2 linked regions of the Macaca mulatta genome follow. The protein of the gene in region 1 interacts with the protein of each later gene in a pairwise test. Links are inferred from orthologs where the notes say so. Each region holds a gene or a part of one and is shown on either strand. Other genes may lie near its edges.

Region 1 (5,486 bases):
CACAGGAGAGGATTCTCTCTCACCACCTGGCGGGCCTCCTGGGCCCAAACCCAGCCTGTGAGTTCACCCGCTTTCCCGGAACGCCCTTCCTTCTTTGGCCTAAAGACCATGGTTCTCAGCCAGGGGGTGATCCTGCCCCCAGAGGACCCCTGCAGTGGCAGCCGACATTTTCAACAGCCACGATCGGGTTACGCCAAGACAGCGGTGGCGGGGGGACTCCTGACATGCAGTGGGTGGAGGCTAGAGATGCTGTTAGTACCCTGCAGTGCCCAGGACAGCCCCGCTCCAGAAACTGGTCCAGCCCAAATGGCCACGGTGCTGTGGCCAGGAAACTATGCTTTTAGATTTGACCATGGGCCAGCCGCAGTGGCTCACACCTGTCATCCCTCTACTTTGGGAGGCCGAGGTGGGTGGATCACCTGAGGTCAGGAGTTCAAGACCAGCCTGGCCAACGTGGTGAAACCCCCATCTCTACTAAAAATGCAAAAATTAGCCAGGCGTGGTGGCGGGTGCCTGTAATTCCAGCTACTTGGGAAGCTGAGACAGGAGACCCACTTGATCCCAGGAGGCAGAGGTTGCAATGAGCCAAGATTGTGCCACTGCACTCAAACCTGGGTGACAGAGTGAGACTCCGTTTCAAAAAAAAAAAAAAGATTTCACCATGAAAACAGGCGAGCAGTTCCCCAATAAGCACAGAGTTCACTGGGGAGTTACCACATGAGCCAGCAACTGCACTCAGAGGTTTATACACAAGAGAAATGAACAGGATTCCCACAGATGCTTGCATACCCATGCTCAAGCAGCACCGTTCACAACAGACAAAAGGCAGAAACAGCCCCAATGTCCACGGATAGACGTGTGGATCAGCACAGCGTGGTCCATCCGCACTGGAATATTACTCAGCCACGAAAAGGAGCGAGGCCCTGACCCAGGCCTCAGCACAGATGCACCTTGAGGACGTCACGCTCAGTGAGAGACGTCAGACACAAAAGACCACGCAGTGTGTGACCCTGTTTCTATGAAATGTCCAGGACAGGCCCAGCCACAGAGACGGGAAGGGGATGTGTGGCTGTCAGGGGATGGGAGAGGGGTTGGGGAGTGACAGGTGATGGGGAAGGGGCTTCTTTCGGAGGTGATGAAGACGTGCTGGTGCTCAATGGTGGTGACAGCTGCCTGGCAGTGTGAATGTACGTAACACCATGAAGCTGTGTACTTTAAAGGGGCTAGTTTTATGTCAGGTGCATTTTCCCACAATAGAAGGAAACGTAACCACAAGACGACGTGGAGGAGCCCGGTTGTCACTTACAGCTGCTGAATCTGGGGGTTGTTCATTAGGTTTGAAGCCTGAAGAACAGAACAAATTTGTCAGGAAGACAAAGCTCCAGGCACATCGCTCTCTTTCATCAGACACTTTCCCTCTTCACCAGCCTTGACCCCGGGCGCCAGCACGCCAGCGAACAGTAAGAGCCGGGCATTTGGTCTTTCGTACCCTTTTCCCTACATTCTCGTCCCCCCACCCACGAGCTGTGACCTCCACATTGTGACTTAAATCCTGTTTCGGGTTCCTGCTTTAGCAGCGTTCTCTCACTGGCTGCACGGTTTCACCGTGTGGATGCGTTTGGTTATTTTAGCTGCTGTGTCTACTTTAGCAGATTTGGTTTAGCAGATTTGGTTCCAGTTTTGCTCTATCAATCAATAGCACTGTGGCCGAGCACGGGGGCTCACGTCTGGAATCCCAGCACTTTGGGAGGCCGAGGCAGGCAGATCGCTTGAGGTCAGGAGTTCGAGACCAGCCTAACCAATATGGTGAAACCCCGTCTCTACTAAAAATACGAAATTAGCCGGGTGTGGTGGTGCGCACCTGTAATCCCAGCTACTAGGGGGGCTGAGGCAGGAAAATTGGCTGAACCTGGGAGGCGGAGCTTGCAGGGAGGCGGAGCTTGCAGTGAGCCGAGATCGTACCACTGCATTCCAGCCTGGGTGACAGAGCAAGACTCTGTCTCAAAAAAGAAGTAAAAATAAATAAATAAATAAATAGCACTGTACTGGGCACTTTCTCACGTTAACTTTCCACTTGGGATTATTCCTTTGGACCTGTTGAAAACAGGTGGCTCAGAGGTGTGGCAAACTCGCTGTGTAAAGGGCCAGTGTGTAAATACTCTTAGCCTTTCCAGACTTGGGGTGCCTGACCCAACTACTCAGCTCTGCCACTGTATCGTAAAAGCCACCACTGACACTAGAAGCATGAATGGGCACGGCTGTGTGTCAGTAAAACTTTATCGGTTAGGCACAGTGGCTCACACCTGTAATCCCAGCACTTTGGGGAGCCGAGGCAGGTGGATCACAAGGTCAGGAGTTCGAGACCAGCCTGGCTAACATGGTGAAACCCATTTCTACTAAAAAACACCAAAATTAGCTGGGCGTGGTGGTGGGCACCTGTAATCCCAGCTACTCAGGAGGGTGAGGCAGGAGAATCACTTGAACCTGGGAGACGCAACAGAGTGAGACTCCATCTCAAAAAAAAAAAAAAACTTTATTAACAAAACCCAGCTGCGGGCCTTATTCTGCCAACCTCAGATGTCTAAAGGGAAAAGGAGTCTGTGCCATGGCCAGGCTGAGAGGCCCCGTGGAGGGCTGGGGCCCACTCACCCTCCATCCCATGATGAGGGAGCATGCGTTCCCCTGGCAGCCTGGCCAGAGGCCGAGGGTTACAGTAAGAGGTGCGGCCTCTGCTGAATGGCACGGCCCAGGCAGGGCCCCTGGCGCGGCTGGGGCATTTTTCTGACGGCCAGTGAGGCTGAGGGCTTTTCTCCCCCCTAACAGCCTTAGGCAAGTCCCTGCACCCTGAGGCCGTGGGAGCCTGCAGAGTGGTCCCAGGGCACACAGACCTCCCAGGGAATGAACATGCGTGTGTGGGTGGGTGGCTCTCCAAGGATCTCAGTCAAGGAACCCCCTGCCAAAGTCTGCCCCTCTGGAAGAACGAGTGCCTGGGCATCGGGAGGTACACCTGTGCCCAGGGCGCCCGGCGCTCTGCTTCCCTTGCCTGAACCATGTCTGCTTCCCTTGCAGGCAGACACGGCTGTGTTGTAATCAGTGTCTCTGCACTGCGAGCGGCAGCCCACGCCGGGGTGGGGCGGGGGTGCGATCTCCCCGGGCTATTCAGCCAGGAGAGCCAGGACGCAGTTTTCGGTGCTCACTACTGGTGCGTCTTGCTTGGGACATTAACATCGGGGACACCTTTGATCGTCAAAGCTGAGGGTGGGGGTGCTCCTGACATGGGGTGGGTGAGGCCAGGGACGCTGCCAGCGCCCCGCGGTGCCTGGGATGGCCCCACAGACAGGAACCATCTGGTCCCAGATGCCAGCAGTGCCGAGGCAAGAAAGCCCTGGCCAGGAGCGGTGACACAGAAGATGCAGGCCTGGGGCGTGGCACAGGTACCATGGACAGGGAGGAGGGGCGGGCCCTTACCATGCTCATGAAGCCGGGGTTGTTCAGCAGCCCGGCGATGTCGAAGCTGCCCACGCCTCCCGTCTGAGGATGAGAACAGCCCTGGTTAGTGCGGCCTGGACCAGAGGCCACGTTGAATAAGCTCCCTGGAACCCAGAAACAACGCCCCCCACAGGCTCAGACATTCTATCAAACTGCGGCCGGCGGGTGCTTTGAGGCAGGCAGCACGAAGCACAGCCCAACCGCCCAGGGAGGAACATTCTATCCTGTGTTTATCCCCCGCACAGCCCGACGCCCGGGGACACAGTCTCTCATCCCGTGTTTATCTCCCGCACAGCCTGACCGCCCGGGGGACACAGTCTCTCATCCCGTGTTTATCTCCCGCACAACTCCACAGGCCACAAAAACACAGTCTATTATCCTGTGTTTATTTCCTGTATTCTGCCACTTTGACACCTTGGGGCCTTGCTGGCCTGGCAGAGCCGCCCCCTCCTGGAGTAGCCAATTCCCAGAGACAGCAAATGACTCACCCCGAAACACACCTTTGAAATACAAACCAACCCGGAACCCACACCCTCAGCACCTGCCCCATCACCCCAGGGCCACGATCCACCTGCCCCACTCACCCCCAGGCCAGGAATCAGGCAACCAGTGGCAGCCCTCAGGCCTGGTCTAATGAGATGGCTCCAACCCTCCCACCCTAAGCCTCCTCACCCGGCCCCGCCGCAAAACCCACATGGAGCGTCCTGTCTGTGCCCTCCCTCTGCCTCCCCGCGCAGGCCTGCAGCCGCCTACTGGTTCCAGGGGTCTGGGGCATGAACCTCCTCCTCATGACGGTCACTTCCATGCCTGTGCATCTCACCATCGACCGAAACAAACCCCGGACCGTCACGACACCCAGGTTAGGCCGAGAGCCGCTGGTGTGCCCGAGGCCCTGTCCCTGACCCGCACAGTCAGCTCCGCTCCGCGTTCTGGAGCCGCTCGCCCCGCGGCACTCACGGGGCTGGGGGCCTCCCGCAGCTTCAGCTCCGCTATCTTGAGGTTGGACTTGTACGTCTCGTTGTCAGGGTCCAGCTCCAGGGCCTTCTTGTAGTAGGCCACGGCCTCCACGTGCTTGTTCAGGCTGGAGAGCGCCAGGCTGGAGGAGAGCACCAGGGATGGCCTGTTCCCGTCTGCCCAGCTCCAGGAGGCCCTGCCCAAGCCCTCGTCCCCAGTGGTCCCAGCAATCCCCAAACCGCCTCGGATGGCGGCACCCCCTGCCCACTGTCAGCTGGCTGGAGACAAACCTGGCTTTCTAGGGGCCCAGGGGCGGGACCAAGGGAGACAGACATGAGAACACCGCTGCCGCACAAGAACTGGCGTCCCCATGGGGCCGCACACGAGGCCTCAAAGCCCAGAGCGGGCTGAGAGGAGGGAGCGGGCCGGCTCAGGGTCACAGGAAACGCGTGGATGTGGTCTTGGCCCCGCTTTCTGGCACAGGGCATCGAGGACCCTGGGAACTCAGTGACAGACGTGTCTCCTGTCGTCCACAAGCAGCCCCTGACTCCCACCTGAGTCTTCACTACTGAGATGACTTGGGGCCCCTAGAGAGCCCAGAAGGAGGCAGGTCCTGGGGAGACTGGGCAGGTGAACAGGATCCTCCCCAGCCTCCGGGGAGACCCAGTCCCACGAACTTTAAGCAAGGGCGTTCACAGAAGCAGGCGAATGAACTGCTTCTCATGCTGGGAGGGTGGCACCAGCGGCACGGGGCACAGGCTCCTGCCCCGGGGACCCTCCTGGCCTCGCCCTCAGACCCCTCCTGTGTCCTTCATCATAAACCAGGTGCTTCCCTGAGCTCTGTGAGCCGCCCCAGCAAACAATGGAGCCCGAGTAGGGGCCACGGGAACCCCAGTGGACAGCCAGTCGGGAGAAGCAAGGGGCCCGGGGATCTCCGAGTGGCACGTGATGCAGGGCGTCTGTGGGGCTGAGCCTGCGACCTGTAGGGGCTACGTTGGCTCCGAACGGCTAGTGTCAGAGCTGAACTGAACTGTGGGGGGAGA
Region 2 (6,171 bases), on another chromosome or scaffold:
GAATTTTCGGTTTGAGGGCATCTAGATACGTGAAAGTGATATGATCCTGAGATTTGCAAAATGGACATTTATTGGACTATTTTAAAGCTTTTCCTACATACGAGTACACTGAGAGCATATTAAACGCGCACACGGCACAAAGCCAGCTGTGAGGTATATGCAAACTGTAAAGCAAAGGGTATGATAACTGGCATTAAGAAAAAGCTTTCTGGCCGGGCGTGGTGGCTAACGCCTGTAATCCCAACACTTTGGGAGGCTGAGGCAGGTGGATCACGAAGTCAGGAGTTAGAGACCAGCCTGGCCAAGGTGGTAAAACCCCCATCTCTACTAAAAGCACAAAAATTAGCTGGGCGGGCTGATGGGCACCTGTAATCCCAGCTACTGGGGAGGCTGAGGCAGGAGAATCGCTTGAACCCGGGAGGCAGAGGTTGTGGTAAGCCAAGATGGCGCCACTGCACTCCAGCCTGGGGGACAGTGAGACTCCATCTCAAAAAAAAAGAAAAAAAGTTCTAAAACCCATTACAAAAAAACTTATTTTTAAATCCAAGCTTTAAAGACCAGCGTCCATATGCAATGGGTCATATTCTTAGAAGCATAATCTTTTTTTTTGAGACAGAGTTTCAGTCTTGTTGCTGAGGCAGGAGTGCAACAGCATGATCTCGGCTCACTGCAACCTCCAACTCCTGGGTTCAAGCGATTTTCCCACCTCAGACCCCGAGTACCTGGGATTACAGGCGCCTGCCACCATGCCCGGCTAATTTTTGTATTTTTAAGAGACAGGATTTCACCATGTTGGCCAGGGTGGTCTGGACCTAAGGTGATCCACCCACCTGGCTTCTCAAAGTACTAAGATTAGTTACTTGACAAGAACATCCCAAGGCGTGAGCCACTGCGCCTGGCCAGAAGCACAATCTTTTGCCCCTTCTGTTACAAAAAGCTTATCACTGCCACCACCAGAGCAGTAAGGACCCAATCACTAGAGCAGACCTGGAAGGCCCCACCCTGAACCAATTTTAATCATCCTTTTCCAGGAAAAAACATCTTGCAAGGTTTGACACTCATCTGAACCATAATTCCTCAAGTTTTCTAGTTTTAAATTAATTTTAAGAACACAAAGCGATGGCCGGGCATGGTGGCTCACACCTGTAATCCCAGCAACACTTTGGGAGGCCGAGGCGAGCAGATCACCTGAGGTCGGGAGTTTGAGACTAGCCTGACCAACATGGAGAAACTCCATCTCTACTAAAAAAAATACAAAATTAGCTGGGCGTGGTGGCGAATGCCTGTAATCCCAGCTACTGGGGAGGCTGAGGCGGGAGAATCACTTGAACCCAGGGGAGGTGGAGGTTGCGGAGAGATCGCGCCATTGCATTCTAGCCTGGGCAACAAGCGTGAAACTCCGTCAAAAATAAATAAATAAATAATCTAAGCTACTTGTGTATCTTTGGTGTTCTCAATGGTGACTGAAAACAACAATTCAATTTTTCACATTAATAATGAAGTTCAGGTAGGCAAAACGTAGCCCCACATTTTGAACTATGAAATGGAACACATTCACTGCCTAACCACTTCACTACCCTCTATTTTCTCCAAAATCTGACAGAATCCAGCCCATCTTTTTACCCACTAACATTCTTCTCTGTTCCTTGAGGTCCTCATTTCTTCCAGGCTCAGCTCAAGGGCCATCTCTATGAAGCCTTCTCTGACTGACTTCCCTATCCTGTAATAACTGGTATTGAACGACCTGATAATGAGTAAAAATATTGTATTTAACAGTACTGGGGCATGCTTGATGTATGAGATTCCAAATGATATGAAAAATATAATGAAAACATTGGACCAGTAATCTTTTCCCATCCCAGCCACTCTTCTGGTTTAGTAGGGAGGTTCTTTTTTTGTTTTTGAGATGGCATCTCGTTCTGTGGCCCAGGCTGGAGTGCAGTGGTGCCATCTCAGCTCACTACAACCTCTGACTTCCAGGTTAAAGTGATTCTCAAGCTTCTGCCTCCTGAGTGGCTGGGATTACAGGTGTGCACCACCACACCCAGCTAATTTTTGTATTTTTAGTAGAGATGGGCTTTCCCCATGTTGGCCAGGCTGGTCTCGAACTCCTCACCTCAAGCGATCTGCCTGCCTTGGCCTCCCAAAGTGCTGGGATTACAGGCATGAGCCACCATGCCCTGCTAATTTTTGTATTTTTAGCAGAGGCAGGCTTTCACCATGTTAGTCAGCCTGGTCTCGAACTCCTGACCTTAGGTGATCCGCCTGCCTCAGCCTCCCAAAGTGCTGGGATTACAGGTGTGAGTGAGCCACGGCACCCAACCAAGAATCAGTTTTAACATAAATTGGATTGTGATCCAATTCAGGTTTGGCTGGGAACCTTGCTCCATGACATGTAAATACATTATCAGAGGCAAGTAACTGCCTCGCCTGAGGGCACAGTTAGCCAAACTGCTGTGTATCCAACGACCTTCAACACAGGCTAGGTTTACAGCCACCATTACTTGATAAGAACATCCAAAGGAAATTGAAGGATGCCGTGCTCTATATAACCTTGCAATATCGATGACAAAAATTATCTTAACTCTGGATTTTCTTGAGAAGCATACTGTAACCCAAAATTGAGGGCGGGGGGTGGGGGGACCAGCAGGGTCCACAAACACTCTAGAGAGCTTAACCTTAATTTTCACAGTAAGCTTAGCATACAAGTATGGGGTGGCCAAATACAATTTCCTACTTCAATCCTCTTATCAACGGGGAAGAAAATGGAAAAAGCTGCAGAATCCAGTCCCCGGATAAGTGACGTACCCAAGTCTCTACAAGCAGTGAGCAGAGGGAAAGCGTTAACCGAAAAAAGCCGAATCAGAATGTATTTTCTTACCCACCCTCCCAACCTTAAAGAACTGTCCAGCAGAATGTGACACAACGGCCTCTCGGGCGCCCATCAACACAGCGCAGCCCTCTGACCACACCGCTAATCTCCAAGTGTCTTTCACCAATAAGACTCCCATGGCTCCCGTCTTGTCGTGAGAACTGCTAGCAATATTCTTAATGTCAACACCTGCGGCGTTCCGCCGGATTCTGCCTTGAGAAAATAGAATCCACACACGGCGAACAGGCAGAGCGTGGCGAGACCAGCTGGTACCAGAGCCGAAGGGTCAGTTTACAGAAGCCCGTATCTAATTAATGCCTGTAACACGCCAGGTAACCGAATCGGGGACAGCTCTGTCCCCTTCCGCAGTGAGAGCGGGGCCGGCCCGGAGCCCGGGGAAGCGAAGGTTTACAAGCCCAAGGTCACCCACGGATCCCAGCCATTCCCCGGGGCGACTTCCTGGAGCAGCCACGTGTTCCCCGACGCCGCACGCCGCGCAGCTGCACCGGGACTGCGCCCGCGCTCCCGGACCCGCAGCCCGGAGCCCGCGCACGAGGGCCTGCAGCCTGCAAGGGCGAGGACCCGAAGTCCGCGGGGCTGAGCGACGTGGGGTACACCTGCTCTCGTCCTCCGAGCAGTAAGAGAAGCCATTCGTCGCTCTGTGACTGAGGCGGCGGGCAAGAAGGGACGAGAGGCGAAGGGACGAGAGGCGAAGGGACGAGAGGCGAAGGGACGAGAGGCGAAGGGACGAGAGGAGAAGGGACGAGAGGCGAAGGGACGAGAGGAGAAGGGACGAGAGGAGAAGGGACGAGAGGAGAAGGGACGCCTCTCCGCACAGCCGCCCGACCCCGCTCGAGGTGCCGCCACAGCCCCTTCCCCACAGGCTCGCGGCCCCGCTCCATCCCGGCCGCCCCGCCTGGGGCCGCGGCCGCCTTCCCGCTCCCCGCGCGGTCCCCTGTGGCTGCTGGACAGCAGCGGAGCGGCCGCTCCAGCAAGCCCCGCAAGACGAAGGGAGGCCACGAGGGTCGGCGTCGTTCTAGAAGCCCGCAGTCACTCACACTAGCGCGTCCTCCGTCCCGCGCCGCCTCAGCCGCCACCCGATATCACGACGCTCTGAGGGGATGGCGGCCCCGAACCGGCGGTTTATAGCCTGGCCCCGCCCCCGGCCCCCCGGGGCCTTGCGTCACTTCCTGAGGCACGTACGCTCGGCGAGGTGCTCTGACAGATCGCCTGGGGGCGGGGATGCGCGCGCACCGGGCGGGGCCCTCCGCGGAGGGCGCTGCGGGCGAGGCGAAGGCAGAGGGAAAAGGCGCCAAGGCAGCAGGTGCCCCGAGGAGCCGCGCGATGGGCGCGCTGGCCTCTGCCTCGGCGCCTTCCTCCACCCTGGCAGCCTGGCAGCCTCCGCCTGACCTTGACCGACCTCCAGTCCCTGCAGTGCAAGGTCAAATCTGTTGGCGTTGACGCTCAAATGTTGGATACTTGCACTGCAGCAGTTCCTTAAAATGTATGTGCAGGATGGAATGTTAGGTAACCATTAAAGCCGCTCTTGTGAAGATGTATTTTGCAGCCTCAGAAATTCAAAAAGGAAAAGAAAAGCAAAATGCAAATTTTTGTTCAGAATATATACAAGCTGCACTGTAACCAAGAGTAGCGGAGTGCTTTGCATAATGTTTAATGCATGAGGGAATAAAAGGGAAAATAGAAACAATCGGGTGATAGGATTGTAGATTAACTTTCGTTTTCATTGCCATTATTGCTGTTACTGGATTGTGCAGGGCATAACAAAATTCAATTCTTATCACCGTTTAAACTCTTTCCAAACAATCACACCCTCTCCCTCCCTCTGGTCAGTAAACTGCAGGCCAGGGAGGTAGTAGCTACAATGCAAGAAACCAACCCAGACCTTAAAAGCATTGCACATAAACTGACCTTCAGCGCCCTTAGGGACACAGAACAGCCCTTTAAGAAGCAAATCTGTTTCTCGGCCTTGGGCTTTTACTTTTCCCTTTATTTTTTCTGCTCTAAGATAAAGTACTTGGGATTATCTCACCGCCTTTCTCTTTACTCCCATTCTCTGCAATCTCTCTCCCCAGAGAGAAGTGTTTAAAAGTCATTGAGTTGCCGGGCGCGGTGGCTCACGCCCTAATCCCAGCACTTTGGGAGGCCGAGGTGGGTGGATCACGAGATCTGGAGTTCCAGCCCAGCCTGACCAACATGGTGAAACCCCATCTCTACTAAAAAAAAATTTTAAAAAAATTAGCCGGGTGTAATGGCGCGCGCCTGTAATCGCAGCTACTCACAAGGCTGAGGCAGAAGAATCCCTTGAACCCAAGAAGTGGAGGTTGCAGTGAGCCGAGATCGCACCATTGCACTCCAGCCTGGGTAACAGCAAGATTCCGTCTCAAATTTAAAAAAAAAAAAGTAATTTGAGCAGGAGCATTGCTGCACCTTAAATGATCTACTCAGGAAAAGGTTAAGGACGGACTTCCACAGAAGGCCTACCTTAATATTCAGATACCAGGCCTGCTCCCCTCTGCTCTTCTTTCTTTATTTTTTTAATTATTAATTTTATATATTTGTGTTATTATTATTTTTAAGAAAGTGTCTTGCCCTGTCACTCAGGCTGGAGTACAGTGGCATGATCTCGGGCTCACTGCAACCTCTGCCTCCGGATTCAAGCAATTCTCCTGCCTCGGCCTCCCAAGTAGCTGGGACTACAGGTGTGCACCACCACGCCCGGCTACTTTTTGTACTTTGAGTAGTGATGGGGTTTTATCATGTTGGCCAGGCTTGTCTCGAATTCCTGACCTCAGGTGATCTGCCCACCTTGGCCTCCCAAAGTGTTGGGATAACAGGCATGAGCCACCGTGCCCAGCCTATTTATTTTTTATTTTTTATTTGACGCAGTTTGCTATGTAGCCCAGACTGGTCTTGAACTCCTGGGCTCAAACAGTCCTCCTGCCTCCGGCCTCCCAAAGTGCTGGGATTACAGGCATGAGCTACTGTGCCTGGCCTTCTGCCTTTCCTTGACTGAAGTATCTTTTAAAAAGAAACAAACTATGCTGGTATTTGCCGGTGAAGATCTTATACCCTCATGGAGGACGTAGGTTTAGGTGGACATATGAGATGGCTAATCCCTGTAATCCCAACACTTTGGGAGACCGAGGCAGGTGGATCACCTGACGTCAGGAGTTCAAGACCGGCCTGGCCAACATAAAACCCCATCACAACCAAAAATACAAAAATTAGCCTGGCTTGGTGGTGCACACCTGTGGTCCCAGCTACTCCAGAGGCTGAGG

The links. The genes of interacting proteins can lie anywhere in the genome.
Region 2: the proteins of SGTA (region 1) and TFRC interact in binary tests that used the Homo sapiens proteins (3 or more experiments, as listed by UniProt). The two-hybrid records come from large-scale screens. The link is inferred for Macaca mulatta from reciprocal best matches to the Homo sapiens genes SGTA and TFRC.

The regions. Positions count from the first base shown.
Region 1 is NC_133424.1:3,529,963-3,535,448, forward strand, and holds part of SGTA (small glutamine-rich tetratricopeptide repeat-containing protein alpha), read right to left. Parts: intron 4,586-5,486; coding exon 4,447-4,585; intron 3,532-4,446; coding exon 3,469-3,531; intron 1,345-3,468; coding exon 1,307-1,344; intron 1-1,306. UniProt on the Homo sapiens protein: Co-chaperone that binds misfolded and hydrophobic patches-containing client proteins in the cytosol. Mediates their targeting to the endoplasmic reticulum but also regulates their sorting to the proteasome when targeting fails.
Region 2 is NC_133407.1:1,619,918-1,626,088, forward strand, and holds the start of TFRC (transferrin receptor protein 1), read right to left. Parts: upstream 3,988-6,171; 5' UTR 3,931-3,987; intron 1-3,930. UniProt on the Homo sapiens protein: Cellular uptake of iron occurs via receptor-mediated endocytosis of ligand-occupied transferrin receptor into specialized endosomes. Endosomal acidification leads to iron release.